Arabidopsis thaliana: one gene and its partners. The protein of the gene in region 3 interacts with the protein of the main gene of each other region in a pairwise test. Each region holds a gene or a part of one and is shown on either strand. Other genes may lie near its edges.

Region 1 (10,556 bases), 180 kb from region 3:
TGAATCAAATCTTATGACCCTGGTTTTTTTCAAAAATAATAATATTATGACCTCTTTTTTTCAAAGAAAAAACATAGGTTTTAAATTATACAAAACAAGGTTAATCACAAAAATTATAAAAACTATATTATAATTATTTCCCACTCATTTGAGGGTATAGAACTTTTATCAGTGGGAGATCTGCTAATTAATCCCACTTTTGTTTTTCTTTTTCTCTTTTTCTTTTTATACGTGAATTCTGTTTTTTCTTTTGATTGTGCTAAATGAAACCATAAAGAATTCATCTAAATTGGATAGAAAATTAGGACACACATAAGATGTACATGACACAGTCAATAACATGATTTTTATACTATTAACCATTTACATTGTAAGATTTTGATGTGGCTATATATGTTCATAACTAGAGATGTGCAATCTGATTTTGATGTAGAGTTTTTTTTTTCCGGTTGCTATCATTCTTATGCATATATTTGATGCTTATAAGTCCATTTCATATTTCCTTTAATTTGTTTTTATAGAGGAAAATTTCATTAATGATTTATTTCATGGACTAATACAGTTTTATTCGAAAGACGAGCAGATAATTATAACAAAATAATCAACGAATCATAATTAATATCAGTCAGTCACTATTATTTTTTAACTGTCAGAGATTTCAAACAAAACTAATATCAAGTACAATCAATCTTGATATCTCATTATTATGCATACAAAGTTACAATGCGGTTGCAAATTCATGAGACGTGGTCAAAGAAAACGATGATGATGAAGAAGAAATAAGCAATTTGTTATGTTAATACTTAGTATCACACGTGTATCCATGCACACGACATACAAATCATGACATTATCCCGAAAAAAACCAAAATAAAATTGTAGTATATGAAATAAATGATAATGCACTAAGAAATTAGAGTAATGATGAAAGATAGAGGAGAACAGCTTTTGCTTTATAAAGCAGTTTGCTTTTGTGGTTTAAAAAGTGGCTTGTCTGTTGACTAATCACTGCGTAGACAAAGATTTGATTTTTGTGTTTGTATATAAGCTTAGCAGTTGCTCGATCCAATAATTTCTTCATCAATCATTTTTTCATTGTGCAGTAGTAAAGTAATGAAGTACTAGACTCATGTAAAATAATAATATACGCACATCCGATTGGGAACAACATGGTAGAAAAAAATATCAAATTTCCATATATGTTAATCGAAAGACAAAATGGGGGAAAATCACTATTTTATAACATTAAGTCGCATCATTATTAATTTCTTGATCAACTTAACTATAACTATTATGTACTACATTTGGTAAGTTCTTTTCAAACTTTTGTTTTCTCTAACAATTTTCTTTTATTTTAGACCAAATGTTAAGCTCTCAATCATTATTTCTTCTTTTGGAATTTCGAGTTTTGTAGTTTTCTCATTTTAACTTCATTTCGATCATATGTTTTCCGTCTTATCAAGTTCTAATTCTACCCTCTAAAGTACCATCTAATATTCCACCGCTTAAAATATCCAATTGACATTGTCACATTCGGAAGAAAAGAAAACCATCCATTTGGCGAAAGCACATGTTATATTATCAACAAACAACATTGATAAACGATATTTAATTTCAAATGGTTGACAAAACATATTTTAGCACGAATTTAGAGCATAGATAGAAAAAGGATCAAATATCTTAATATAATTAATGAATAGTTATGAAGATATTAACATATATTAACTGTGATGAGTGGGAATAAAAACAGAGTTAAAGGGAGTCATTAAAAAAGAAAAAGAAAAGTTCTAAGTCACAGACTCACAGTATATCTCATCGACACAACGAGTGTCCCACTATTATAATTTTATAATTCACAGTTTATTTAACTTTGCGTTACATCACAATAATTTTCACACTTTATCACTTCGAGGCCACTTGGTTATTCTTCCCGGAATATAAATGCTTTATTAATAACAGATTAATGGTGCTTAGTGCTTACCATATAAATTCACTTTTCACCTGCTCTAATTGATTAATAGTATGATGTATTTTTTTTTATGAAGGCTTATCTTAGGTCTAATTGATTATCGTTTGTTGCTTTCCTACATCCGAGAACAGGTTGAGTCTATTAATCCTCTAGACTTAGAACACAACCAGGTCTTCGAATCCAAATACATTACTTCAAAAAAAAGTCTAAAGAGTAAGTAACATATCTATTGATTTTATAACCCAAAAAACATATTAATTGATTTTTTGTTTTTAGTACATATTCGATTTGGTAGCATCATCCCTTTTTAAAGAGCAAGGCTGGTAAATCCACTAGCTCACACCATTGTCCATGTACCAGTATAACTATGCAACATTCAATACAACATTTCACATAATTATTTATTTTCAATATTAAATCTTAAGTTTTTCTAAAACAGTTGATTGTCTAGAAAAATACATTTTCTTCAAAGCAAATATACATAATTGAAATTGAAAACAGTCGATTGCCAATGAGTTGATTTAAAAGAAAACAAAATTATTTATTAAACCAAAAAAATCGTACATATGTAATATTTCATCATTGTTAAACTCATTTGTATATTTTTTATGATATAGATATATTTTGTTTTGTGTCTTTTTTTTTTTCACCAATTTTGTTTTGTGTCTACGATTGTATAGTAAACCATCTTTGCATTTTTGTAATTTTAAGCACTACAATATAGTTTTTTTTCAATAATTTATTCTCATATATGTAAAAAACGAAGTCGAATTCTGGTAAGAGAGACGAAATTAAATAAATGGACCCATATTTGTAGATAACTTAATATAAATCAAGTTTTTTTTTTTGTGTGCGCGAAGTATATAAACCATAAAAATCTTATAGAATTCTGTTTTTTTATCACATGATTGAAAACTAAACATTTCCCGATTTTGTCTCTGGCCTTTTCCAGTTTACAGTCTAGAGGACCATTAGATAAATAATTGGCAGACAAATCTTTCTCTTTCTCTTTCCCTCTTTAACTCTCACTCACAAATACTTCCAAATCAAAATCCTCTGTTCCATCTTTTTCTTAAAAACCTCCAAACAAAGAATCGAAAAAAAGAATATTTCTTATACAAAAGAAATAAACCTCAAACTCTGCACCTTAGAGATTAATACTCTCAAGAAAAACAAGTTTTGATTCGGACAAAGATGTTGCAAGGAAGAAGAGAAGCAAAAAAGAGTTATGCTTTGTTCTCTTCAACTTTCTTCTTCTTCTTTATCTGTTTTCTTTCTTCTTCTTCTGCAGAACTCACAGACAAAGGTGTTAACTTTGAAGGTAATGTTCATCAACAAAATCTTCCCCCACTTCTCAGTTTCTCCTTTTTTCTTCCTAAAACATGCTTTTCTTTTTTTGTTTCTTCTTTAGTTGTTGCCTTAATAGGAATCAAAAGCTCACTGACTGATCCTCATGGAGTTCTAATGAATTGGGATGACACAGCAGTTGATCCATGTAGCTGGAACATGATCACTTGTTCTGATGGTTTTGTCATAAGGCTGTAAGCACTTACACACCAACACACACACACACACACACATATATGTAATCATGTGTTTACAGTTTTTACTATTGTGTGTATGTAGAGAAGCTCCAAGCCAAAACTTATCAGGAACTCTTTCATCAAGTATTGGAAATTTAACAAATCTTCAAACTGTGTAAGTATGTTTTGTAGTAATTATTAAAACATTGTTTCTTCATCTCTTAATCACTTTAGTTTTCTAATAATTTTGTTTGGAGATACAGGTTATTGCAGAACAATTACATAACAGGAAACATCCCTCATGAGATTGGGAAATTGATGAAACTCAAAACACTTGATCTCTCTACCAATAACTTCACTGGTCAAATCCCATTCACTCTTTCTTACTCCAAAAATCTTCAGTACTTGTATGATTTTATCCATTTTTTCGTTTTGTTTATTTTATCATATTTTTTATATAAATTATTTATGGAGAGATTATTTTTGTGTTGAAAATTGTGGAGCAGGAGGGTTAATAATAACAGCCTGACAGGAACAATTCCTAGCTCATTGGCAAACATGACCCAACTCACTTTTTTGTACATTCTCTTTCTTTTATTTTCTTCTTTAAATTATATTTTACATATATAAATCTGTGTTTATATATATTTTGTAAATGTTTTTCAGGGATTTGTCGTATAATAACTTGAGTGGACCAGTTCCAAGATCACTTGCCAAAACATTCAAGTAAGTCTATTTACGAGAAAGAATATTTGTCTGCTCTGTTTTACTCTGTTCTGAGAAAGTAACAGTGTAATTGTGTTTTTCTTTTCTCTGTAATTTATCCACTTTTATACGTTACCCTAATTATATTATATAGTTTTTATTTAACTTGTTATGCAGTGTTATGGGCAATTCTCAGATTTGTCCAACAGGAACTGAGAAAGACTGTAATGGGACTCAGCCTAAGCCAATGTCAATCACCTTGAACAGTTCTCAAAGTAATATCTAAATTTTCAATATTTTAAAGTAATATTTGAATCCTAGAGAATATATCTAAACTGATTTTTCTTTTCTTCTTGTTGTTGTTGTTGTTGTTAGATAAATCATCTGATGGAGGAACTAAAAACCGGAAAATCGCGGTAGTCTTCGGTGTAAGCTTGACATGTGTTTGCTTGTTGATCATTGGCTTTGGTTTTCTTCTTTGGTGGAGAAGAAGACATAACAAACAAGTATTATTCTTTGACATTAATGGTAAGACCCACAATGACATTTTTAATCCCTTTTCGTTAACTGTTGAATGTGAAACCAGACAAATGTGAGTGTGTGAATTTTTGGGTCTTACACAGAGCAAAACAAGGAAGAAATGTGTCTAGGGAATCTAAGGAGGTTTAATTTCAAAGAACTTCAATCCGCAACTAGTAACTTCAGCAGCAAGAATCTGGTCGGAAAAGGAGGGTTTGGAAATGTGTATAAAGGTTGTCTTCATGATGGAAGTATCATCGCGGTGAAGAGATTAAAGGATATAAACAATGGTGGTGGAGAGGTTCAGTTTCAGACAGAGCTTGAAATGATAAGCCTTGCCGTCCACCGGAATCTCCTCCGCTTATACGGTTTCTGTACTACTTCCTCTGAACGGCTTCTCGTTTATCCTTACATGTCCAATGGCAGTGTCGCTTCTCGTCTCAAAGGTAGTTAATTAAACACCTTGATTTTGATTTCTTTACATGAATTGACCCGGTTTACGATTCGTGTGAATGGTTTGCAGCTAAACCGGTATTGGATTGGGGCACAAGAAAGCGAATAGCATTAGGAGCAGGAAGAGGGTTGCTGTATTTGCATGAGCAATGTGATCCAAAGATCATTCACCGTGATGTCAAAGCTGCGAACATACTTCTTGACGATTACTTTGAAGCTGTTGTCGGAGATTTCGGGTTGGCTAAGCTTTTGGATCATGAGGAGTCGCATGTGACAACCGCCGTGAGAGGAACAGTGGGTCACATTGCACCTGAGTATCTCTCAACAGGACAATCTTCTGAGAAGACAGATGTGTTCGGTTTCGGGATTCTTCTTCTCGAATTGATTACTGGATTGAGAGCTCTTGAATTCGGAAAAGCAGCAAACCAAAGAGGAGCGATACTTGATTGGGTAAGAAGTAAAAGAGTAAAACATTTTCTCTTCTTGTTTCAGTTAGCTTAAAAATACTCACTTCTAGGGTTTTTTCTTTGGGGTTACTTGTAGGTAAAGAAACTACAACAAGAGAAGAAGCTAGAACAGATAGTAGACAAGGATTTGAAGAGCAACTACGATAGAATAGAAGTGGAAGAAATGGTTCAAGTGGCTTTGCTTTGTACACAGTATCTTCCCATTCACCGTCCTAAGATGTCTGAAGTTGTGAGAATGCTTGAAGGCGATGGTCTTGTTGAGAAATGGGAAGCTTCTTCTCAGAGAGCAGAAACCAATAGAAGTTACAGTAAACCTAACGAGTTTTCTTCCTCTGAACGTTATTCGGATCTTACAGATGATTCCTCGGTGCTGGTTCAAGCCATGGAGTTATCAGGTCCAAGATGACAAGAGAAACTATATGAATGGCTTTGGGTTTGTAAAAAACATATATAAGATTGTGTATTTTGTTGTATGCTGTGATCTTGTACAGGTTTTGGTATCAGAAAGACATATTCTCATGCTTTATCCCATGATTAGGAGGAGGTGGAATCACCGCCTCCATTTCGTAGAAACGAAATCGAAAACCTCGCATGTCATCGTCGATGAGGTTTCCTCTTTTATTTTCTTCTTTGTTTTGGTACGTAACCACACTAGTTTGTATGTTCCTGTGACGCTGTCTTTTCCAAACCCGAGGCGAGAGAACTCTACCTTGTTGCTGTCTAAATAATTCTTTCGTTGAATCCTAGCAAGAGGGAGCTTCTTAGACCATCTTGTGTCTGGATTTATCACCATAATTGGCTGTTTCATGTCCACACCACTATATAAACAAAAAAGACCATCCACACTCTTGGAAAATAGTATCCGCCTCTCTTTGTGTTTCTTGCTAGTTAAATATTCTTCTTCTCCCACTAGACGACTCAAAGACCACTCCAACCTCATGGTCTTGTAACGAATGCTTGGCTTAGACCCGTTTCTTCTAACTTCATAGAGACAGAGAAATTTGGGTTCTTTTGTTTTCTGATGCAACATGTATTTCTTCCTGATTTACCTAGACTTTATCGTATGCCTCCAGTGTTTAGACACGGTTTGGAATCTAGTTAGGGTTTTCACTGGAAGCCTTACTATAATCTCTTCCAACACATCGTCGTTTGGTATCTTAATAACCTGTCTTCTTCTTCTTTTGCTTTCTCTTCCATGATGCATGATCATCTCCTGCTTCTTCTTCTCTTCTTCGTCTTCTTCTTTCGGTTTCTCTTTCAATATCTCTTGCGTGATATTCACTTCTTCTTTTTCTTCCTCTCTCTGAAGAGGACGAAGCAATCTTTCCCATGATATGTGTTGGCTTATTTTGGGATGAAGAAAATTCGTTTCGTTTTACAAAGATTGTAACCAAAACGGGGAAGTGTCTTCAGTCAAGTGGTTCCACATTTTTCACTTGAGTTCGACTCCGCTAAATTGTTGTTAGCCCAATAATTTGTGTGTACTAAGAAAAATCACAAGTCCTCACATACCTAAGAACAATGTAGAAATGAAACAAAACTGTTTTTGCAATGAGAACAACACAAGCGTAAATAAGGTCTCTGTTTTTTCCTAGTAAGCATAGAAACATGAAACAAGTGAGAAGCTTTCATTACTCTGTCTCTGAATCATGTATATAGATCAGAGTCAAGCCAAGTATCCTTTTTAAGACCAGTTCTTGAAGAATTCTTCTCCAGATCTTTGTTCACACTCGCAACATCCAAACTCGGGACAATTTTCTTCAGCAGAGCTCCGGCGAATCTTATCACTGAAGGACCAAACTCAGGCCATGAGATCACCAATGTTCCTCTTATGTTCTTTAGCTGGCACCGGCTCAAAAGTGAAGCACTCAGACCGTCGATTACACTCCCTGATGGGAAGTAATCGAGATTCACTAAACCGGTGTGAGTTGTTGCTTTCTTCTCAGCAGATGTCTCGAGTTTGGCTGCCAATGTTTCGTCTGGTGAGAGTCTACCTCTGAAGTTACGGCTCTGAATGGAATCCAAGATTATCACCCGCTCGGGGATAATGTCTTTGGCAATGAGCAATCTCGAGACTAGGTTAGACCGTTCAGGAGATACAGGAAGCTGAACAGAGACGAGGAGGGTCAAGTTTTTATCATCAGCACTACTCAAGGAATATATGTTGCAGGATTTGTCTTCTAAAGAAGGTTCCATGGTGTTTCCAGAAAACGGAACTTCAGGCATGATGAGACTTCCAAGGAGAGTCTTTGAAGGTAAACTATGGAAAATATAGAGGGAAGGTGAAGATATGGCTATGATAAGTAGAGATGGTCGGAGAGGAAGTTCAGGTTTCGGGTTTGAGAATATGATGAAAGGAGATGGAAGGGATTCAGGTGGCTGAACAAAGTTGTTAAGATCTTCTTGGAAGAATCTTGAAGGTGGAGGATTCTCGGTAAGTACATCTTCCATATCTTAGCTTTTATCAAAATCTCACAGACCTGTATCAAGACACACACACATCAGAAGAAGGATGCAAGCACTTAGATAACAATGACACCTAAACAAACAGTTCATTGGTTCTGAACAAAAAATGTAATGCCAGGAATTCAGTTGTATCCATATTATAAACCCAGCATGAAAGCACTAACAGTCGTAGGATCAAATATCTTATATTCCACATAAGAGAGACCCAGTGAGTGAGATTAGAAACACACCAAAACAGGACTAGTTGCTAAATAACCTAAATCAAACGCAAACTTCTGTTGGTTCTTGCTCATCTTATTATACTCCACCAGCAATGTAACAAAAGATAACAATCATCAAATCACAGATCTTATGCAAAGTACTACTTAAAGTAACCTAAGAGACTATAAAATCAATTCTTTTCCAGACATCCGATTCAAAATTACAATCTACTGAATCATATAGAGATCGAAACTCGAATCTTTAAGAACATGAAAACAATCCCAACTCAAAATCTCCAGTAAAGTCTCAAAATTTATACATTTCAAGAGTTGGGAAGCAAAGTATCACTTGAAGCCAAGATGTATAAGAATCGCAGCGCGAGACGACACAGGAAAAAAAAAAGCAACAAAATTTAGAGTTTTGTTCAGAGAAGGAAGTGAAAAAGACGTACCTTGTTGCAGTAGAATCGATCGATGATGATGAACAAAGAAGAGATTTTTTGTTTTTTTTTATCTTTCTTTTTGTTGCAATTGGTTTCAGTCTTCTCGGCCAAGACAGCGAGAAAGCTAAAACCTCAAACAAATCCCATAGGCGTGTCGCTATTATGTGCCGCTATCGTGCGCTACTATTGTGCGTCGCTATCGTGCGATACTATTGTGCGCCTAAAGATGCTGATTTTTTTTTCATTCATTTATGAAAAATTATTCTTCTTTTATCCTTTCCAAGTATTTTATTGGATTTTATCAAATTATGCAATGAACCAAAAAAAACCCCAAGAAAATTCATTTAGTTGTTAGTCTGTTGCATAGATGTTGAAGGGAGCTAATTTTGAGATGACATTAGTATAATGATACAAGGAATTGTGTTATTGCAAAAGCGTAAATTAAAAATTATAGAAGAAAAAACAATAGAACGTGGAGCAGTTTGATCAAAATCTTGAATTTGCTCAAACTTTAGAGAAAACAATAAACTCAAAAATTCAGATTGAGAAACCGATTCATTCAAAACGGTTTGATCCGGTTACGATCCTCTGGAAGATGATGAACCAACTGTTCAAATACTGCAATGCATCCTACTTGATGTTGAAATTCCTAGTCTCCGTGTGGTTCAGATTCATGAGATATAGAGCGTGTGCACTACTAATATTCCCAACATGCGATTAATCCTCGTGTTCATCATCGCTTTCAGAATCTGCAAAAAGACATGAACATTATTAATAGAGTGTTTTTGTCTCAAAATATTGTAATAAGAGTTTTTATTGCGTACCGGATCTAACATCTTCGCTAAGCTTGCCTCGATCTTGCACTTGTTTCACAAGCATCCGGTAAATCAAAACCCACCAGAATATGTGAAGAACAAGCAAGAAATACAAAAGTGTGTTGAACATATAGTACAAGATTGGTCCATTAGGATGCTTTTCTTTGTCCACAGTCATAATGATTTGATAGCTGCAAATCAAAACCCCACAATATATATACATCAAGGAAAAAACATTCAAGAACAAACGCTAAAGTGGATATTAAACAAACCTCGTGCTCCACAGGATCCAAAAAGGATAGTAAATGAGACGTAGAACGACCCAAGACAGCGCGAAAAGAACAAACGAAATGCTCGCGAGACTTTCCGCTCCGCAATATTTAGACATTTTCCCAATTTCAAGGAACACATCGCTCGCATCATGAAGTGCAAGAATAACAGAACCAGCACGAGTTAATCTATATCATCAACATCCAAAAACAAAACAAGAGTCAGTGTATCCTTTCCTCCACAACACAAGTGTATAATATACGTACCTGCAGATATAGGAGAGGACAATGAGAACAAGCGTTGTGATATGATGACCCATGGAAACTCCGAAATCAGACCGTCTTGTTTCCCAAAACACCAACGCGAATATAGAGTACGTGTAGAATCCAGCAGCAAACATATATAAAAACTTCAACTTCATCCTGCACACATAGCAGTATCATATTTTAGCAAATGACCATCACAAAAGATATCGATGACCATAACGAAACAACTTACTTCATTGGTTGATCAGGCCAAATCTGATCTCCAGGACCAATCCAAAAGTAGAGAGTATTTGAAAACCAAGGTTCATTATATGTGACAGATAAAGCAAGTAGCTCAGCTGATAGATAGTAAATACACTTCCAAGCTGATTCTTTAAATTTTCGAACTTTTGGACTATTTTTCTTCCTGTCTTTTATGTTGTCACTCTTATTCGTACTCATCCTTCCATAGATCACAAGAC
Region 2 (10,521 bases), on a different chromosome or scaffold from region 3:
AATTTGCAGCCTCAGTTGCCTAGCATGCATCATGGATCACCGCAGCATACTGGAAACAGGCCTCAGTTTCGTCCTGCTCTTCCTCTGAATAATCTCCCTCCAGCTCAATGGATGAATCGTCAAAATATGCATCCTGGGGATAGTTCCGGGATCATGAATAATGCGATGCTACAACAGCCTCCTCATCAAAACGGTTTGATGCCTCCACAGATGCAGGGCTCTCAGAATAGGTTACCACATCCGATGCAGCCTCCTCTCGGGCATATGCCAGGAATGCAGCCTCAGTTATTTAATTCCCATCTTTCTCGATCATCATCCTCTGGAAATTATGATGGAATGCTTGGGTTTGGTGATCTGAGGGAAGTAAGACCAGGATCAGGTCATGGGAACAGACAGAATGTGCGTTTTCCCCAACAAGGCTTTGATGCTGGCGTTCAGAGAAGATATCCATTCCGGTCTAAATATATGTCAGCTGGTGAGATAGAGAATATACTGAGAATGCAGCTTGTTGCTACACACAGCAATGATCCTTATGTTGATGATTACTATCACCAAGCCTGTCTTGCTAAGAAATCTGCAGGTGCAAAACTGAAGCATCATTTCTGTCCAAATCATTTGAGGGACCTTCAACAGCGTGCACGGTCGAACAACGAGCCCCATGCTTTTCTTCAGGTTGAGGCTCTTGGTAGGGTTCCTTTCTCTTCAATCCGCAGGCCTCGTCCTCTGCTTGAAGTGGACCCTCCAAATTCAGCTAAATTTGGTAATGCAGAGCATAAACCTACGGATAAGCCCCTTGATCAAGAGCCGATGCTTGCAGCTAGAGTGTACATTGAGGATGGTCTTTGTCTCCTCCTTGAAGTTGATGATATAGATCGTTTCTTGGAGTTTAACCAACTCCAGGACGGAGGACACCAGTTGAAACAAAGACGACAAGCATTGTTGCAGAGCCTTGCGGTTTCACTTCAGCTCGGTGATCCCCTCGCCAAGAATGGGCAAAGCCAGTCTCTTGATGATTTTCTCTTTCTAAGGGTTATCTCTCTTCCAAAGGGTCGAAAGCTACTTATAAGGTATCTTCAGCTAATTTTCCCTGGCAGCGACCTAATGCGGATAGTTTGCATGGCCATTTTCCGTCATTTAAGGTCATTGTTCGGAGTCCTTTCATCTGACCCCGATATCATCAAAACCACAAATAAGCTTGCAACAGTTATCAACTTGTGCATTCAAAACATGGAGTTAGGACCGGTAAGCACGTGTCTAGCAGCGGTGTCTTGTTCTTCTGAGCAGGCACCGCTCCGCCCCTTAGGCAGTCCTGTTGGAGACGGAGCTTCCACAGTATTGAAATCAATACTCGACAGAGCTTCCGAGCTTATCCGGGCTAATAATTTCAACAACGCAGGGATAGCTCTATGGCGCGCTTCCTTTAATGAGTTCTTTAATATGTTGATGAGGTACTGCATCAGCAAATACGATAGCATCATGCAGAGTTTGCAATTGCCACCGCATTTTGCCACTGAGATATCTGAAGAAGCTGCAAAAGCCATTGTCCGCGAAATGCCAATAGAGCTTCTACGTTCAAGTTTCCCACACATTGATGAGCAGCAAAAGAGGATACTGATGGAGTTTTTGAAACGATCTATGCTCGGAAGCCAGAAAACCGAGCCAGTATTAAGTTGATAGGATGAAGATTGAAACAGTAAAATCAAAGAAACTGTATGGTGAAGTCTGTATATGAAGGCATAAAGATCACGCAGATACCGCGGGAAGAAAGGTAGAGAGAATCGATTCAAACTATTTCTATTTGCATCAGAGAGTTAGGATTCTTCCTTCAAATGGACAATACTGGTTTTGTGTCTTATAGGTAAAAGCAGTGGAGAAGAAGTTTGGTCTCTGTACAGAGAAAAAAGTCTTTAGGTTTTGCAGAACTTATGAAGAGGTTTCAGGCATTTGTATTTCTGTCTTTTGTTTAGTTGATCTCATTGTCGTTTCGATATTTGTTTTTGAAACCTTGTTTATGTTTTTGATAAATTCTCTTTCCTTTTTTTTTCTTACTCTGTTTTACCAATAAACATTCTGAGTTATGCTTTGGTAATGATTACTCAATTTGTTCTTCGTACCATCTTCTCTCACAAGCTCGAGCATTCACGTTTCGGCTAAAAGAGTGGTGTACACGCGCATGTTTGGACGCGTTGATAACAGAGGCGGAGGAAAAAAGGAACCAAACCTTTCGGATCTAAAGAAGAACACAAGAATGAAAAATAATTAGATTGAATTTGATTTAGGATCAGAGAGTGGGAAAGTACATAATGATCCTTTTCTTTTCTGGGTTGTTCGTAAAACCCAAAACTTTCATTTCATCTCCTTCCTTTTTCTGATTGCTGTCCGATTTTAAGCCATGTCGACTCTACTGAACTCAGTCTTATCCATGGCGTCACCGGAATCATCGCCGAGAAAAGCCGTAGGTTTTGTTTCCCACATCCCTTCTGGTTTCCTTCATTTCTCCTCCGTCAGTAAAGGTGTTGCTAGGGTTTTAGCTTCGACCCAGATAACATTATCCCCTAAAGACTCCGCCTTTACCATTACTGGATCCAGTTGGAAACCCGATTTGGATTCCGGGTCGTTTTCTGATGACCCGAGAAGCGACGAGCCGAATTTGAGCGATAGTTTCTCTCATCTAGAAAGTTTAGTCACGGGAGGGCATAAACCCAATGTAGCTCATTCTACTCAGCTCTTGTACGATCTCTGCAAAGCCAATAGATTGAAGAAAGCCATTCGTGTGATTGAGCTTATGGTTAGCTCCGGGATTATACCCGATGCATCTGCTTACACGTATTTGGTTAATCAGCTTTGTAAAAGAGGTAACGTTGGTTATGCGATGCAGCTTGTTGAGAAAATGGAAGATCATGGTTATCCTTCTAATACCGTTACTTACAATGCCTTGGTTCGAGGTCTTTGTATGCTTGGTAGCTTAAATCAAAGCTTACAGTTTGTTGAGAGGTTGATGCAGAAAGGCTTAGCTCCAAATGCTTTCACTTATTCTTTCTTGCTTGAAGCAGCTTATAAAGAACGAGGAACCGACGAAGCTGTGAAGCTCTTAGATGAGATCATTGTGAAAGGCGGTGAACCCAATTTGGTTAGCTATAATGTGCTGTTGACTGGTTTCTGTAAAGAAGGGAGAACAGACGATGCCATGGCGCTGTTTAGGGAATTACCTGCAAAAGGGTTTAAGGCAAATGTTGTGAGCTATAACATTTTGTTGAGGTGTTTGTGCTGTGATGGGAGGTGGGAGGAAGCGAATTCGCTCTTGGCTGAGATGGACGGTGGAGATCGAGCTCCTTCAGTTGTTACCTATAACATATTGATCAATTCGTTAGCTTTTCATGGAAGAACAGAGCAGGCACTGCAGGTTTTAAAGGAGATGAGCAAAGGAAATCATCAGTTTAGAGTCACTGCCACGAGCTATAATCCGGTGATCGCCCGTCTGTGCAAGGAAGGAAAAGTTGATCTTGTTGTGAAATGTCTAGACGAGATGATATACCGGCGTTGTAAACCAAACGAAGGAACGTACAATGCAATAGGTTCGTTATGCGAGCATAACAGCAAGGTGCAGGAAGCGTTTTACATAATACAGAGCTTAAGCAACAAGCAGAAATGCTGCACGCATGATTTCTACAAAAGCGTAATCACGAGTCTCTGCAGGAAAGGTAACACCTTTGCAGCGTTCCAGCTCTTGTACGAGATGACTAGGTGCGGGTTTGATCCCGATGCGCACACCTACTCGGCTTTGATCAGAGGGCTGTGTCTGGAAGGGATGTTTACAGGAGCCATGGAGGTTTTGTCGATAATGGAAGAGAGTGAGAATTGTAAACCTACAGTGGATAACTTTAACGCCATGATCCTAGGGTTGTGCAAGATAAGGAGGACAGATTTGGCAATGGAGGTGTTTGAGATGATGGTTGAGAAGAAGAGAATGCCGAATGAGACAACATATGCGATACTCGTTGAAGGGATAGCTCATGAGGATGAATTGGAGCTGGCTAAAGAAGTTCTTGATGAGCTACGATTGCGTAAGGTTATAGGACAGAACGCAGTAGATAGGATTGTAATGCAGTTCAATTTAGATTGATGGGTAGGAGGCGAAGATAACGAACACCATGAGGCTTTTTTCTTTTCTATAAAACTTTTAGTATACAGTATTTTTTCACTGTTTGTATCATTTTTATGGAGACGATGATTCATGTAATCTTCAGGTTTAGAACAACAGATCAGAGATCAATAAGAATCAAGTAACACACACACATTGTGCCTAACATCTTAAAGATCCGATTGAAACAAATGGAGACAATGTGTAAATTCTAGCAGCGAATAGGTGTAGACGATGAAGTAAAGTCTGAAACTTTCTTTTTGATTAAAATCTTAAACAAGTCTGAAACATAAAAGGAAGCTTATAGTAAGAACAATGTTTGCAAGAGAGAAAGGGAGAGAAGCAAGAAACAGAGTCGCATTGTCTTCAAAGGCAAATTTACTTAGAACGCTGTCTCATCTTTCGTCTCTTCCTCTTAAGCCTCCTCATACGCTTCTTCTTCCACTGCAAAAGAAAAACAAAAACCATTCACTAAACCCAAACTAGGATCATATTGTATGGATCAGAATTGGCTTCTACTCACCCAAAAAAAAAAAAAAAAGAGGCAATGATCAACCATAAAATTTACATAGTAGGAGAGATCAAGATAGTGAAATTGAAATCGTAAATTCAACAATAACCCAAAACTTGATTAAAATCCCAACATTCTCTTCCATCAAGTACAAATCACACATAAAATGATATGATCAATATTAGGAGAGACCAACATTGTGAGATATAAAACTCAACTGTTACAAACCAGAGTATCTCATTTCATACCAAATCTTCCAGAAAACAGAGCTCTTATATCAAATCCCAAATTTAACAATAACCGAACTTTTGATGAAAATCCCAACATTCTCTTTCGGCAAGAGCAAAACCATGAGTAGAAATCACAATCCTAATCAATAAATTTCAATATCCTACAGGTCGTGCTACACTAAACCAAGGTTTCAATCTCACTCGACTGATTCTATAAACAGCAATTCACAAAATTCCCAATATACTTAAAGATCAACACACAACATTTTTGATAAAACCTACAGAAGCATAGCTAAAGTTGTAGATAAAAAACTGACCTTGGCTCTCATCTTGTCGCTCTGAATCGAATCGGAGAAATGAAGGCGTCGTTAAACATATATACACACACACACATTTGTAGAAAAGCCCTAAAATATCTGAATCGGAAATACATTAACTTCTCAGGGCTATTTGCGTCATTATCCACACAAGGCTCTTTTTCCTCTTGAAGAAAACCTTAAAAAACCAACAAACTTTAGGAGAGCCTCGCCGGGAAATGGAGCAGCTATCAGACTCGGACCACCGCGATTCTGCTGATGCAACTACTAGCTCATGTCAATCCACCACCGCAGAAGATGGTCAATGCGGCGGCGGCGGAGAAGCAATGGCTCGAGGCTTATCAGCGATGCTCGAGTCCGTCATTAAAGACTTTGACTCTAAAGCTCTTGACACGCTCAATAGCCAAGATGAACTCTCCGGTTCTCTCGATCGCCTTGTCCAAGGTACAATTTAACCTCTTCCCGAGATTCGTATTTAACTTAATTGGTGAAATCAATCGATTCACAAGCTTCGTCTCCGTATTTGTTAATTAGATTACGCACAAATCAATCCAATTGATCCGATTAAGTTTCTTAACCATTATATTGCCATTGGTCTAACAAAATTGCTTAAGAATTGATTCTTGTGAAATTTTTAGATTGGATAGTGTTTTGTTTTTTCACACAACAAAATTTGAATGTGATGGAAACACAGAGCTAGATCAATTACTGGAAAACGCTCCATTGCCATTCATTGTACAACACGCATCGAGAATTTCCAGCGTCAAACAAAGAGTTTCATCTCTGAATCTTGTTCTTAAATCTGTCCAACGACGTATCGATAACATCGATCACATGCTCTCTGCCAACACCACGCAAGGTTATAAATGCTTTTATCAAAACCAAATCCAAAATTTTATTAGTTTTGGGAATTTGTGAACTCACTACTTCGTCATCTATATATAGTGCATTATTATCTCACTTTGTTTTCACTGTAACACAGAGAAAGCATCCTCGGAAACTACATGATGACGAAACACTTACTCACTCTCTGTTACTCTGTCACTCTCATCTTCGGATTTGGGAGCAAACCCAAAGAGGTGAGTGTTTTTGTACAAGCGCAAGTGTTTTCTCATATTGTTGTGTTATTGGGCTTTTAAGTGGGCTTTTATTGGATCAGTTCGTTTCTAGTTTAGAATACCCAAGTTTCATTTTTTTATTTAGATTGTTTTATTATAATAGATAAGTAATTGTTATTTTGTATCGTTGCAAGCTCTAATTCGATGAACCACATGGTCCATCAATCAATCATGTAGAACAGAATTTTCAAGTGAATATGTCGGGTCGTTTTATTTTATTTTATTTCGTTTTGGTTGCATTGTTGCCTTGTTGGTAATAGGCTTTACAAAAATTAATATCTAATAATCATAAAATCTTGTCACGTGGGTCTACGACAAAATCGATAGGAGGATGCCCGTATATAACAGAGTCACGTGTCTTCTGCGCTGGGTCACGTGATTGAATGCCTATATAATTGGATCTCGTAGGCTTTTAGTTTTTAGATGTCCTAGTGCTCTCTCTGTAGACTACAAGCTTTTCATAAGGAGGAGACTACATGGGCCACAACTTTCTTTAGTTGATCGATAATTACTATCTTCCTTCTATAAAGAACCATGTTTTTTTCATTATTATGATTAAACTTTCTATTTATGTGAACGATGATGATGGGTGTGACTTGTAAGGGTGTTAATAGTTAATGATGATGCAGAAGAAAAGAGGTAAATTAAAACTATGGAAGACCGAGCCTCTGACCAAATATCTAATTGGTCCGTTTAGTGGGTACATCCATACAAACACAAAAACCTAAGCCCCATTTCGGGAACTCTTCTAAAGTATGTCTTAAACCCACAAAACTAGCTTACTTTTGCTCTTTTATTCGCTGCTTTTACAAATCATGAGCTGCAAAGTAATGACTAGTAAGTATCATAGATGTTACTTTCAAGACTATATACACTTTTTTTTTTCTCAAAATGGAATTTGATTAGAAAGCCTGTACCACAAATGCTGTTAGGGTATTTTAAGTAAGTGAGTGGAGGAGAAAGGGGACCAAAGAGAGAAGTACAACAGGAGGGATAGAGACAGGTGAAAGAAGCTTAGGGGGTCTTGTACTTGTACAATCTCTATTGCTGGTCCAATCTATCATTTTTTAATACGACTTAATAGTAGTCTTTGAACAGTTTGGTACCTTTCACGTACCATTATGATAATAAGGTCGTGAAATCCTGACACTTAAACATGTGATGATTCAAACCGAAGACCACCAATAGCTCCAACATTAATGGTTAAACGAACCTTCCTTGATTAACAAAACAACAACCAACGAATAAATAAACCGCAAAAAAAAAGAAAAAAAAAAAACTCAAAATAAAGAAAGAAAGAGAAAAGTGTGGTAAAGTCTCTGAAGACTGCATCATTTCCGAAACACAGAAAACGACAAAATAAACTATATAATAAAAAGATACATTAAAAATAAAATCACATGAAAGAGACAGCTTAGATAAGCTTCAACGTGGGGAGAGCGCAAATACACGCAGAAGAAGAGCATATGATAGAGAGCAAAAGAATCTGTTTCCTATGTTCTGACCCACGCGCATCCCTTTAGCGCGTCTACCTCACTCTCTCTATGTGTCTCTCTCAACCCAAGCACAAGCAAAAACACACAATTTAGGAGTCTCCATTTCCAATTTTGTGTCTCTATCTATGTCAATGAACCCTAGAATTACACTTCACCAATGGCAGATTCTTTATTTACACACCCAGGACAATTCTAATACCTTATAAAAAAAAAGCTCTGTTAAAAATAAGATTTGTTGTAAACAAACCAAAAAACAGAATGATTACTACTAGAGTACTAGCTAGCTACTGTTGAATCAATACAGTGTTGTTGTTACCATTGATGGTTCCTTCATTTATAATAGTCGGGTTAGATTCGATCCGTGGAGTTACGGCCTCTACTGATGTGACACGACGCTCTATTATTGTTGTTGTTCCCTGTTCTATTGTTCTGCGACGAAGATGAAGATGACGAGGAAGAGAAAAACTGACCAAAGACTACTGAACCACCTCTGATTGAGCAAACGGGAACGTTCAAAACTGGAGTAACCCTAACGTTTGAGCTATACGATCTCTCCATTCCTCTGTGTCTATACCCGCTTGTTCCACCATTGAAGCTACTCGGACTGCTTGAGCTTCGTTCTAGATTCTGGAACACGATTTTACCTGAAGAGTTTAGTCTTGGACTGTCTACAGAGACTCCTCTGTTCATTATGGCTGATGTTTCTCCACCGGAACGTCGCATCGGACTGCGTCCAACTCTTCCTCCTCCGGTTCCTGATGTTGAATGGTTCACTAACCTCATTCTCGGTGGATTTGGGTTTAGGCTACGAGCCGGAGCAAATGGATTCGCAGTGAGATTGTGGTTGAGGTTAATGATGTGGTTTTGGTTAGGTCTCTCTGCATCGAGAGAGAGTCTTGGAAGATCTTCGTGGTCATGGCCAGAGGAGGAAGAGGAGAGAGACATACGAGAAGAGGATATAGAGACAGATTCGGAATCGGAATCTTTGAGGAGAGGAAGACTCATGAGTAACGAAGCATCTGAAGAGGACGACGAGGACCTGGAGCTCCGATGCAAGAACTGTTTCAACGACGAAGTTGACGATCTCGGATTCGTCGTCGTCGTCGTCGCAGTCGACGCGGATTTGCTGCTATTCTGAGAGAATCGTTTGAGTCCTAACAAGTCCCTCCATCTACTTGAACACCGTGGCGCCTTTGGAGAAAACGAGCAATTATCGCCACCCCCGGAGATCTCAATCTCCACGACTTCCATCCTCCTGCATTTCCCGCCGATCTCCGTCGTCTGTTGTTGTTGCTGCTTCGTCACGAGTTTACCGTCGGAGAAAAGCTCATCGGCTGGGAGCATTCCGACTGGATCCTCCTCTAACCTAAACTCGAAATCACCAGCTCCGACTGCTGTTTCCTCCTTCGGAATCTCCGATGCGACGGATCCAGAACTCCGACCACCGTCGTCACGGCTGAAAGAAGCTCGTGGATTGAAACATCCGTAAGTAGGAAAATCCTGAGAAACAGTAACATTGTTGACGCAAACAGAAGCCATCACCGGCGTTCATGCAACAAACTTATCGCCGTCGGGAGAAAATCAACGGCCAGATCCAAACGAGAGAGAGAGAGAAGAAAGAGAGAGGTTTATGGATGAGTGACAATGGTTTGTTTGGAGCGTTGTGAGTTTGTTTTGGAGAGTAGGGGCCACGAATGCCATCCACAGTTATTATAAACGACCCAGGTGGCGCGTGCTTCTCACCGCACTAGTGGGGGCATTCACGGTATTTGTTCTGTTGGAGCCAATGGCGGAGCCTCTCGGATCAACGGCTAATTCACAGATTAGTAACTTTTTAATTAACTTAATTGTCTTTCTTTAATGGAAACTATTATTATCTAACTCTGGAATATTCCAAAAAGTTTACCTTATAAATTTGGGAGACAAAACCTTTAAAAATATTTGTTCATGAATCATACTAATACAGAAGGAAAAAAGTTGGAGGTTGGTAATCATTAATGATTAATATATAGGTCACGTGATATAAGGGGTTATTTTGATTATCAATAAATAAGGTCATCGAACAGCTAGCGATAAGCTGTGTTGATCAAGAGTATGGATAAGCGGCCACGGGATGATAAGCGGGAAAAGTGACTATTCGCTGAGAATTTATGTGTTTTGATCGGAGAAATTAGACAACTCGTAATCTCAAAAGTTTTCATTAAGATAACAGCATTCATTTCTATGGTTTTGAGATCAATCTGATTTCAAAAGACAATCTTCTACACTGTCTTTAATGTCCTTTCGAGTTAGGGATTGCTATCTCTGTATGTATAATCAAGTGGTGCAGTGCGTGTGTGTTTGTCTCTCTTTATCTGGTGTTGTATCCATTTTAGGATGGACTGTAGGCTAAATCTGAATTGAATCAATGTCCTTTTGTTTGCAGATATAATCCATTGCACATGCACACATCACCAGTTGTTTTTCCTTGTTGTATCAAGCACATGATACTTAAAGGGAATAACATGAAAGGTACATAGTTTGTCTCATCACTTTCTCAGTTTCCGATTCATGTATCTTTCATTCGTTCCTCTTTTGATGTAGCCAATTTCAATGCTCTATTGATTTGCATTATCATCCAACTTTTACAAAAAAAATAAGGATGAGTTGAGAGTACAATGAAGTTGTGCCGATCCAAAGGAACTAGTCATGAAATGATGATGGTGAAT
Region 3 (11,510 bases):
AAAAAATATATATATTGTTCGAACCACGACATGTAGTACTATTTAAAATTCAAAGATAAGAAAACGAGTTCGAAAATGAAGCAAAAAGAAAGAAAAAAAAAAGATTTGAACGAAGATAATTAATTGTTGCGAACATTTTTGGGAAATATTAATTATAAGTGTATAAAATTTTTAATGAAATTACTCTGTAGATTGTGAGGTCGTACGTCAAATTTTTTGGCTATGGGACAAATCTACAGTATTTAATCAAATTAATTGTTTTAGGAATTGCGAGTTTTAATGGGGATCTACCTACAACTTTAAGCTTCGTCGTGGCGCTAAGTGAAGACGAGAGGACGTGAAAGCGATGCGCACCAGAATCGCCTCTCAATTCTTTAATTAGAACATTACAAAACTCGTTCTATCAGAACTATACCATTTTTTTGTTTTTGTTTCTTCCCATTTCTAACAAAATCTCCATTCAATACCAATTTGACGAAAATTCACATTTCAAATGATTTATTAGTCTTTAACTTGTTTAAGAACACCTAACTAATTTTGTATTTTTATTGTTCGAATTTCTGATATTTTAACCACATAACTTTTCGCATATATTTAAAGACTATAGTTAGCTAACTTAGCTTCTACCGCCTGCCTAACCAATAATATAATTGATAAATAAAAACGCAGACTTATCTATTAATTTCATATTTTCGTGTTATGTACAATCCACAAATTGATAGACATGTAAAGAAAGAAATTGCGGTAAGAATTTAAATAAAGTCAGAATTGTACATAGCTTCTATGTATAGTTTCTTCACGCATGGTCCCGGTCTCATTAATAATTTCCACGAGTTTTTTTTTTTTTTGTTGATTTTTACATGTACATATATAGCTTCTCCATCCATGGTTCTCATAGCTCAACCACATAAAGATTGGTATAAGAATGTCTAGTTCACCAATGCAACATCTGAATACTCATTTTTCATATGGCTAACTGATCACTTTGCTCGACAGTCCCAAGTCCCAGTTATGATTAGCTATACGTACCTTTTCACTATCAGATACGTATTTATTTTTTCCAGATTAAATAAATTTTCCATTTAACAAAAAAAGAAAGATAAAATAACATGATGTCTCAATAGAAAAACCTTTAGTGCTAGGGAATTATAAAATCTGTCTTTAATCGAAATAAATAACATTTGTTCTATAATCAATTAGATTTGGCAATGATACTTAAGAATGGTGGGCCGGCGTAATTTATGGTGGGAAGTTTTGTGTACTTGATTTTGCTTTATGTACTCACGTGATGTGTTGTACAAAATTCTACATGTTCTTTGTTTTCACTCATCCTCAAGATTTCTATTATCGTAACGTTTCCTTCTTTTTATTCTTTCTTCCTTATATGCCTTGTAATATTGTTACAAATAACAATGTAACGTCTTCTACTCTCTTTTTTTTTAATACATATTTTTGGTTATGTATATTTCACTTATTTGTTGTCGGCTTGATTTAAAACAAAACAAAAACAAAACCATTTAGATGTGTTTGGTAATGATTTTAAATGCTGTAATTTGGATTTTAAAGTAACGTCTTTTTTTTTTTTTTTTTGGGTAAGGCAACAACAACGTAACGTCTTGTACTCTCTAATTATACAACACTTTTGTTTTTAATTATACAACTTTTTTGATGAACACAAAAAACCTAACTGACCGAGCATGTGTCCTGCAACGTACGTACCGAATTTTAAACCAATTAATAATAACGTTCAGAAATTAGAAAACGACATTTGAAATCCCAAAAAATATAAAACCAAATAAAAATAAAAACCAGAAAAAAAAAGAACTAGGAAAAAAAAAAGTGAAAGATCTGTGATGCCCAAACTATTCGTTATACACGCGCCAAAGTCTGCGTCTGAAATCACTCGCTTTCTCTTTCGTTACCGACTTTTATATCTGCTTCTCTTTATATCTTCTCTCCACTATAAAATCTCGTGTTTCCCCTTCTTCCGATTCTGTACCCATATCTCACGCTTAATTACAGTATTGCCACTCATTAAAACCGTACCATCTTAACCAAAGCGATAACCCGTACCACCGGTTCAGCTATGGAGGATTTATTGGAGGAGAGGCTAACTCGGACTGACTCTGTCGGGAATAAACGAGTCAGAGACGGGTTAGACCTCGACTCGCCGGACGTGAAGCGGTTAAGAGATGATTTGTTCGATGACTCGGGGCTTGACCCAGTGAGTCAAGATCTTGACTCGGTGATGAAGAGTTTCGAGAATGAGTTATCGACAACGACGGCGGCGCTAAGCTCCGGTGAAACTCAGCCGGATCTTGGATACCTTTTCGAAGCTTCTGATGACGAGCTGGGTTTGCCACCGCCGCTTACGCCACCGCAAACGCTTCTTCCTCCGTCGTGTGAGGAAACGGTGACGGAATTGGTACGAGCCTCGTCGGATTCATCAGAGGTTGGAGAGTTATGTGGGTTTGAGGATCATGTTACGGAGTTCGGACCTTGCGATCTTGGTGATGATGGGCTTTTCGAATATTTCGATGGGTGTTTAGATTCCGGCGATTTGTTTTCATGGCGGCCGGAGTTTTTACCGGCGGAGTAACAACATACCGGACCTTTTTAAAAAAGCGGGCTACGAACGGTGACGTTTTGTTAAGCGTTTTGCCTCGCTTTTTCTTTTTTCTTTTTTTTCCCTCTATTATTGGATAATAGGTATTAGGATCTATATATTTTGTTAAGTTATTAGGATTAGAAAAATCAAAATGTTTTTAGTAGGAGTAAGTGGTTTAGATTAGTTTGTAAGAACTTTTTTCTCTTCAGGAACTGTTAATCTTTAATCGCCTTTATCATTTCGTTAGCTTTTGTGTTAATGTTACAATCTTATATGATCATGGATGTATTCGGTATTCCAGAGATCAGAATTATTAAAAAGATTTTCATATCAGAATCTGAAATTATTGTTGATTACAAAAAGGTTCTAGACTTCCACCATTGCAATCCATATATATATATTTACTAAAAGTTTTTGCTAACTTATTCCTTTCCAAAAATACAATAAATTTAAACATGATTGATGTTAAAAAAAAAAAATTTAAACATGATTTAAATCATATTGTATACAACAAAATAAATAATAAAATGGTTAGTAAAAATTTAAAACACGAAATGAAAAAGGGATATTCACCCAAACAAGTTGAGTTTTGAAACAACAATGGTAATTCAATCTCTGATTAGTCCTTCTTTAGTTCTTTACAAGAATTGGGCTTGTGGTATGTTGGATTTCAGCCCTAATTGATATATGTCTAATTTTCAAATCCAAATAATGTTCGTTCTACTAAGTAAATTGAGATCTAAGCAATAGATTGCTTGGCTTGGGCACAATCTTTAAGGCCGTGCCCAAAAAAAATACAGACACAACAGATATGCCCTCAGATAATAGGCCGTGTCTAGTAACTCTCTTTTCTTAAGGCCGGTGGGCTGATTCTGGATAGGAAATTATTTGTTTAAAACCCAAAATGATGATTCTTGAAAACAAAAATACAGATACAACACAAGTGAAGAAAAAGATGCAAAAGAAGTAGAGCAAGACCAAGAACAATGAAGATTAAAAAATTTACTTGGGAAAAATTTGGCTCAGGAATTTTGGAAACTGTTTTTGACTTCTCGTCTTCGCTTGGCGTCTTATAAGGTCAAACTATCTGGATTCTCAATGATCTTTGCAAAGGTTTGGAGAAAAGCAGCCAAGTCAGCTCCATACACAATGCGATGATCTGCAGTCACATTCACCTGCCAACATAACAACAAAGCGACAATGTTACTGTTAGCATAGCCAAAAGCTATAGCTAATCGTATTTTAAACTTTCTAAGTCGAAGTGATTCACCAAACCCATCAGGAAGTTTATTAAGTCAAAATAAAACTTACCAGCATTGTGTTTTTTACACTGAAGAATCCATCCTTATCAGCAACTACAGTTGGCTTTGACGCTCCAACAGCCATAATAGCACCCTAGAGATTTGAGTATAACAATTAAGTAAATTCCTTGTAATCACTATTCATAGAAGAGGCAATGAAAGTTTCTTTCATATACCTGTCCTGGCGGAAGAATAGCGTCAAATCTATCCACTCCAAACATACCGAGATTCGATAAAGTAAAAGTTCCTGCATTCCATAGATATATCCCTTAAATCAAAATCCTTAAACACACTTCACATGTTTGTCATCTAAACAATTCGTTAAGAATAGTACCAGAGTTGTATTCATGGGGTTGAAGTTGCTTGCTTCTAGCTTTCCCCACCAGCTCTTTCCATTTTTGAGATAACAAGTACAAATCCAACTATCAAAACAACCAACACGACTCACACATTCAGTTAAAGAAACCAGCCTAATAATACCAAGTGTGTGTGTTAATTCACTCACACGCTAGCTATTTTCTACAACTTTATTGCTTATGCTTACCTTATCTGCATCTTGTAGAACAGGCGTAATCAGGCCACCATTGATAGCAACCGCCACTGCAATGTTAATGCTACTATTGTAACTAAAACTCTTCCCGTCTTTGCAGCTAGCGTTCACCACAGGATGCTGAGCCAAGGCCATCCCTGCAGCTTTAGCTAATAAAGCTGTCATTGTTACACCCTTTGGCTTCACCTGTAAACAAAAGCAGTGATTTAACATCAGCTTCATCATTCAATACAACATCAGCTTCATCTGTTTCATTCAATTCAATTTCACCTTCTCGTAAAGTGCATCAAGAGCGTCAGTGTTCACAGGATAACCAACACGGAATGTAGGAACAGAGAGACTCTCAATCATGTTCTTAGATACTGCAGATTGCATTGCTGTGAAAGGAACAATGCTTGAATCAGGTAACAGAGGAGGCAAATTAGTGGTGGTTGCTTTAGCCGTCACCGGAGGTGGAGGAGGAGGCGGTGGTGCGATGGAGGATTTGGACGGAGCAATTCCAGCCGCCGTCTCCACATCAGAAGCCGTAATCCTACCGAATGGTCCAGTTCCAGCAACGGATTCAATATCAACCTTGTGTTGTTTAGCAAGCTTCTTAGCATACGGCGTCGCAACAGTCTTCCTCGGACCATCTGATACTGCCGTCACCGGAGCCGGTTGAGCAATCGCCGGAGCAGGAGAAGAAGTAACCGGAGGAGGAGATGGAACGACAGCCTCAGCCACAGAAGAAGAAGATTTCGAAGCGGCTTTACTCTTAGCTTCTTCGATCTCAGCTTCAGTCTCAGCTAACAATCCAATCGCAGCACCAACCGGAGCTGTTTCACCTTCTCCGACGACAATCGCAGCAAGATAACCATCGTAAAACGTTTCTACATCCATATCGGCTTTATCAGATTCAACAACCACAACACTCTCTCCCTTGGCGAGTTTCTCGCCTTCTGTTTTGATCCATGACACGATTTTGCCTTCCGTCATGGTTGATGATAACGCCGGCATGAAAATTTCACGAATCTTAGATCGGACCGTCATTGAACGACGGTGAGAAGTCGCCGGAGTCGTGGAGCGGAAAACGACGCTGCGGAGGGATGGGGATACTGAGGAAGCGAATGAAATGTTGGATTTGGAATTGGTTAGTGAAGCTGTCGATAGAAACGAAGAAGAAGAAACCGCCATTGTTGAATCACAGAGAGAGAGAGATCTGAGAGAGAGTTTAGAGAGAGTGAAGTGGACGGAGAAGACGAGGTTGAAGTTCGTTGAGCGTCTTCGCCTACATTTGTATCAGTTACCAGTTTAATAACCGGATATATAATTAAACCGGATTAATTTATCTGAAACTTCGGTTTAGGTTAAACCATCTAGAAACAAAGAAAATTTAGATGCTTCTCAATGGATATTAGGTAACATAACAAAACCAGTTTTCTTATATATCTTCTCTGCTCTACCTAAGTTAGAGAATCAGATTCCAAAATCTTAATTTATAAGTATACTTTTGTTTTCTTAACCAAAAACATATCATACAATATTGCTCTTTCGTCTCATGTCGGAAAAGGTTTTGTGTTTTCTTTTATTTGTTTGAACAATAATTTTCTTGGATTTGTGATAATTTTTTTTTTTTTTGGGGTGGTGAAATGCAGAAGCAATGTTGTGTTGTGATGAGGATTAACTTGGATTGCAATGCTTGTTGTAGAAAAGCTAGGAGGATTATCATCAATATGAAAGGTTGGTTTATATTGGTTATATAAAATAATATGTGGATGAAATGAGCAAAGAAGGATGTTATGAAAATAAGATTTAAAGTTCAAGGAGGATTTTTTGAGTGGAAAATCTGAAAATTTTAGAAAGACATCGTTAAATTTTATCGATGTTACTATATGCACCATTTTATGTAGGTTTAGTCGTGGTGGATTTATAGAAAATTCAATACTAACACATGTTTTGGATACTTTTTTATGAAGAAGTTGATACACACATGATCAACAAAAAGGAACGTCAAGTAATCCTTTGCGGACGGTTTCGACCATCCGATGTTGCATTAAAACTGCAAAGGAAGATGAAACGGAGGGTTGAGATTCTCGAAGTTGAAGATCTCACCAATGGCCATGGAGGAGAAGAAGGAAGCGAGCACGAGCTACCGTATGAACAGCCACATGAATATTCTAATCAACCTGATCAGATGACCACACCATTGTTGTGTTAGATATCTCTAATTCGTTTGTTCTTCTATCCTCCAATGCCTAAACATTTGTGAGAACTATTAGAAGAAACAATGGCATATAATGACCAACACGTTTGTTTGTATGTACAAATATATAGAAAACTCTGTAGCGCAGTGCGGATGATCACCTAGTATATATAAAAGTTGATATATATTCAATGCATTACATTGTCTCAAAACAATTAATTATACGAGCGGATATGGGACTAGAAACCCGAGACGAATACGGTAAAGACAAGGTCTCGTTCCGAAATGGACATATATCTAAAATTTTGTTTGGTAATTGGGAAAAACGAAACCCAAACTATTGTTTAGAACATTTGGGAGAGCCGAGTATATAAACCTTTTACAATACACATCATTATTGAAATCTTAGCTTTCTGAAATTCTAAATGTGAGTTGGTTACCACAACTAAAATAACAGCCCAATTTTACTCATATTTTTAAATGGAGGGGAAGACTTCAACAACACAAGTGAACAACAAAAATGCCTACGACTATCAATGACAATGAGGATCACTAATGAAGAGGCCTTACAAGAGAAATATTCAAGTGAAGCTTTCTTCTTTCTTTTCTTTTCTTTTTTTGATTGAAATTTATGCTTTCTAGATTCACCCAATCCCCACACACTCACCATGACCGAAAAGAAGTTTCCTTTTCACGATCATCCTTTAGCATATGAGAAATTGGACAGATTTTCTTGCATTTTGTGCAAAAAGAAAGGTGGTTTTGGCTATTTCTGCGATAAGTGCTATTTTTGGGGGCATAAGGAATGCATCAAGCGCTCACTTCTGCATCCATCTCCATGCAAACATTCTCTCAAAATCTACACACTCGAGGCATTGGGCTATGCAGGTGACCATTGTCATTTTTGTAGAGATTATCTTCTTGATGATTTTTTTCATTGTTTGATATGCAACATCAACATGGATCTCAAATGTCTTAAAGATCCACCACCATCAAGTATTTATCACCCAAAAAACCATATGCATATGCTTACTCTTTTGCCGAGAGTGGTCACATTTACTTGTAATGCATGTAGCGTAGAAGGTAAGCGTAATCCTTATGTATGTCTTGAATGTAATTTGATGTTCCACAAGGATTGTATATATCTACCACGAGTTATAAGCATCAACTGCCATGATCATCGCATTTCTCGCATTTTTCATCTTGGTCTCGGAGATTGGAAATGTGGAATCTGCCGACAAAAGATTAGTTGCTCCCATGGAGCTTTTACATGCTTGCGTTGTCCTAGTCTTGCATTTCATTTAAAATGTGCGATGAAAGATGACGTGTGGGATGGAAAAGAATTCGAAGCTGAACCCAAAGAAGAGCTTGAAGATGAACTCGAAGATGATTCCGAAAAGGAAATTGAAGATGATAGTTCTGAAGAAGAAATCGAAGAACCATAAAACTAATGAAAAATAAATATTGGCGTGTATGTTATGAGAAATTCATTTTAAAGCTTGATGCGGATTCTGTTAGTGACAAACTGACAATGTGGTGCAACGATTGTGTCCAACAATGATCCATTCTTTTTGTATACATAATGTTTGACTCTTGACCAAACGAAGAACCCTGAAGTCTAAAATTTTGTCTATGACTCGTCATTAGTAATTCTAGAGTTAATGGAACATGACCACATTAGCCTAACACATGATTAAAGGGGCCAAACTCATTTTTAAAAGATTTTGAAATAAATTATTACAATTACAAAAGAAAATTAATTTATTGAAAAAATTGTATATAAATGTCTTCCTGATTTCTACCATACCAAAAATATATATTTCTTCCTGATTTTCTATGTAGGAGTTTCAAGATTTAAATTTTAAAATATGGCATATCAAATTTAACACTAGTAATATGGAGTCATATCTCAAAATTGTTTTTTATACCAATTTCACAAAACCTTTTTTATCTATATATGTAAAAATGTTTTAATCATTTGTTAAAGAAATAATAATGATCAACCTCTATGATCTAATTCAATTTTGTTGCCTTAAATAAAATAATACACATATGCCACGTTTGCCTTATTTACATAAAATCCCTTTAAAAAGATGTTACAAGCAATTCTGGTCGCGATTCTATACCAAAATTTCTTGAGCCTTAACCCTAATTTCGATTACGACGATACTCTCTGATGGCGAACGATAAGCAGATCGAATCTCACCACCGCAAGCATCACCGTTCATCTTCGTCGTCCGATGACACTGAAAAAGCATCGAAACGACACAAGCATCGTCATCACAAGCATCATCACCACAGGCATCGCCATCACCGAGATAAGAAGCGCGAAAATGAAATTCCATCCGCCGGCGATGAGACAGAGATATTGGATGTTACTCCGGCGGCTCCAATTGTTGTTAGTAACGGCTGTGAGGAGGAGGATGTGGAGGAAGGAGAGATTTTAGAAGAAGATGGGATTGGTGATGTTTTGATGAAGACGGCAGATTCCGACGGCGAATCAGGCGAAATCAAATTTGAAGATAATAATCTGGTCTGTTCTAATCCCTCTAATACGTCTTTTTCTTCCTAAATTCTGTTTGGATTGTGGGATCAGAGGGGTGGATTTGGGTTTGATTGATTTTTTCATATTACAAACAGCATTTACGCCTGAATTAATGATAAAGCTTTGGTCTTTTGAGAGTTTTCTTTAGATAACCTGAGTGTTGCACTAGGCGTTCAATGGAGACTGATGGCTTTCGCTTGATTTGTAAGAACTGGTTTTATGTAGATGTTCTTTTTCCCTTTTTTTTAATTGTATGTTCTTGCGTTTTTAGTGTCATGTATTTCTCTTCTGGTAAGTATTCTGAATATCTTTTGCGATGCTTTCAGCCTCCACTTGGGGAAAAAGGGCGTCAAGGAGAAGAAAAGAGTTCTAATGGTGTTCTAACTCGTGAATCTGAAAGGGAGGATAAGAGGTGGGATAAAGAAGCTGGAGGTCCTTCAGAGAGAGTTAGTAAATTAAGTTATGATAATGGCAGAAGTTCGTTTTCTCCGTCAAACAGCAGGCAGTCTAACGAAGGCCGTGCCCGGAGTAGATCTAAGTCACATGATCGGGAGAGAGAAACTTCTAGGTCAAGGTTTGCGGAGGATGAGTTTTCGGACAGAGGAAGACATCATGATTCTAGTAGGGATTATCATCATGACAGAGTTGACTCAGTTAGGACTGAGGAAAGATATCATCGACGTGGGCGATATGAGGAAAATGACAGGCAATATAGTCGAGAAGTCTTGGAAAGAGATAGAAGTAAGGAGAGAGATATGGACAGGGAGGGAAGCATAAGAGATAGGGATTCGGAAGGAAGTAAGCGGAGAGATAAAGATAGTGATCGGAGGAGGGAAAGAGAACGAGAGAAGAGAAGGGAGATAGAGTCTGACCGTGAAAGACGAAAAGAGAAGGAACGAGAGCGCAGCATTGATAGGGATAGGAGAAAGGAGAGGGAAGGAGATTATTTACGGGATAGAGCCAATGAGAGAGGTAGGAGTAGAGATAGAACCAGGTATAACAGCAGAGAGAGGAAGAGAGAAAAGGAAAGGGAGGGTGAAAAAGATTGGGAGAGAGGAAGAGAAACCCAGAAAGATAGGGAGAAGTACATAAGTAGTGATGTGGACTACGGTGAGATGAGGCACAAACAGTCTAGAAACACAAGATATGATGCGGTAGATGACCTAGAAATGAGAAAGCCAAATTCTTTGAAGGCCCATAATTCTAAGGGTGATAAGTTAGAAGAAACGTGGGCCAATGATGAAAGGTAATTTTTCAATAACCTCATCCTTGTTAATGTTTTGTTGTAGATCAGAAATCTTTTGGGTATCTTGTGTGGCTCGTAACTATTTTGCGGTCAGGTCCCGAAATGAGGATGGTCAAGATGATAATGACGAAGGACTTACATGGAAATCTCCTGAGGAAGAAGAAGAAGAATTACTAAATAGAATCAAGGAAGAGAGCAGGAAGCGAATGGAAGCCATACTGGAGAAACATAAGAGGAAGCCCGAGCAGCAAAATGAACTTTTAACTCAGGATAATGGGAAAGGTATTCGTTCAGTCTTTATTGTGATCACCATATTTCACGACTCTGATTTCTTCAAATATGAGGTTTTCACCTTTCTACTCGTGGTATATGTGAATGGCTCTTTAACAAAAAGCTGTAACTTGTTTTCATTAGATTTCACTGGTTGATCTCACAGACAATGTCTTTGTCCATACAATACTCTCCCACGTTCAAATGTAAAAACTTGTTTTGAGATGTTTAGCATTGAGGCATTCCCAGTGATTCTTCTGTTTTTGTGGCAGATATTGTTCCAGAAACTGGTGCTCCAGTGTCGACTTCTCCTGCAGTTGTCATAGCAGCTAATGTAGGCCAGGCCAAAACTAACTTGGACTTTGATACTGTCGCTGCCAAGGCACCATTAATAGCCGGTGGGCCACCTACTATGTCTGGAATTTCAGACTCAGAGAAGAATCAAGCTCAAGCGGGGCTTGGTGAAGGTAGCCCGAAGGTGCGTTAGCAAAGGAAACCTTGATTGTTTCTTTGGTATTGGTGATCATGTGTGGTTGTGAGTAATTCTTGGTTTTAGGTTTATACTATCGGTATATATAAATATATGTGATGATGATCTTATATTCTTATACACTTTTATATGTCCAGAGTGAAAGGTCAGCTGACATGTTTCATGATGATATCTTTGGAGAGTCCCCGGCTGGTATCCGAAAAGTGGTATGTATTTAACTTAACTACTTCATATCGTCTAACCGTGTATTTGTACTGTTTACTAACCTTCTGATGTTGTCATCTTAAGTTTACTGTTTTGATCATCATGAAACCCTTT

Evidence for each region.
Region 1: the proteins of LTA2 (region 3) and AT3G25545 interact in a two-hybrid assay, tested with the Arabidopsis thaliana proteins (one large-scale study listed by BioGRID).
Region 2: the proteins of LTA2 (region 3) and AT1G79070 interact in a two-hybrid assay, tested with the Arabidopsis thaliana proteins (one large-scale study listed by BioGRID).

The regions. Positions count from the first base shown.
Region 1 is NC_003074.8:9,275,167-9,285,722, reverse strand, and holds AT3G25545 (trigger factor), read right to left. Parts: upstream 8,879-10,556; 5' UTR 8,754-8,878; intron 8,116-8,753; 5' UTR 8,087-8,115; coding exon 7,283-8,086; 3' UTR 7,032-7,282; downstream 1-7,031. Other genes in the region: NIK2 (NSP-interacting kinase 2), read left to right, coding at 3,163-3,289, 3,380-3,509, 3,595-3,666, 3,755-3,898, 3,998-4,069, 4,158-4,217, 4,374-4,471, 4,572-4,724 and 4 more; AT3G25550 (F-box family protein), read right to left, coding at 6,136-6,192, 6,288-6,609, 6,685-6,845; TRAM, LAG1 and CLN8 (TLC) lipid-sensing domain containing protein, read right to left, coding at 9,462-9,493, 9,569-9,750, 9,832-10,017, 10,096-10,251, 10,328-10,556.
Region 2 is NC_003070.9:29,740,704-29,751,224, reverse strand, and holds AT1G79070 (SNARE-associated protein-like protein), read left to right. Parts: upstream 1-5,409; 5' UTR 5,410-5,417; coding exon 5,418-5,643; intron 5,644-5,893; coding exon 5,894-6,058; intron 6,059-6,181; coding exon 6,182-6,207; 3' UTR 6,208-6,954; downstream 6,955-10,521. Other genes in the region: AT1G79090 (topoisomerase II-associated protein), read left to right, coding at 1-1,674; AT1G79080 (Pentatricopeptide repeat (PPR) superfamily protein), read left to right, coding at 2,393-4,123; AT1G79060 (TPRXL), read right to left, coding at 8,162-9,352.
Region 3 is NC_003074.8:9,454,754-9,466,263, reverse strand, and holds LTA2 (2-oxoacid dehydrogenases acyltransferase family protein), read right to left. Parts: upstream 5,832-11,510; 5' UTR 5,633-5,831; coding exon 4,730-5,632; intron 4,646-4,729; coding exon 4,454-4,645; intron 4,332-4,453; coding exon 4,244-4,331; intron 4,157-4,243; coding exon 4,086-4,156; intron 4,004-4,085; coding exon 3,920-4,003; intron 3,784-3,919; coding exon 3,679-3,783; 3' UTR 3,251-3,678; downstream 1-3,250. Other genes in the region: AT3G25870 (uncharacterized protein), read left to right, coding at 2,087-2,599; AT3G25855 (Copper transport protein family), read left to right, coding at 5,997-6,008, 6,094-6,178, 6,415-6,656; AT3G25850 (Cysteine/Histidine-rich C1 domain family protein), read left to right, coding at 7,310-8,086; AT3G25840 (Protein kinase superfamily protein), read left to right, coding at 8,818-9,174, 9,513-10,432, 10,527-10,714, 10,975-11,180, 11,330-11,398. UniProt on the Arabidopsis thaliana protein: The pyruvate dehydrogenase complex catalyzes the overall conversion of pyruvate to acetyl-CoA and CO(2).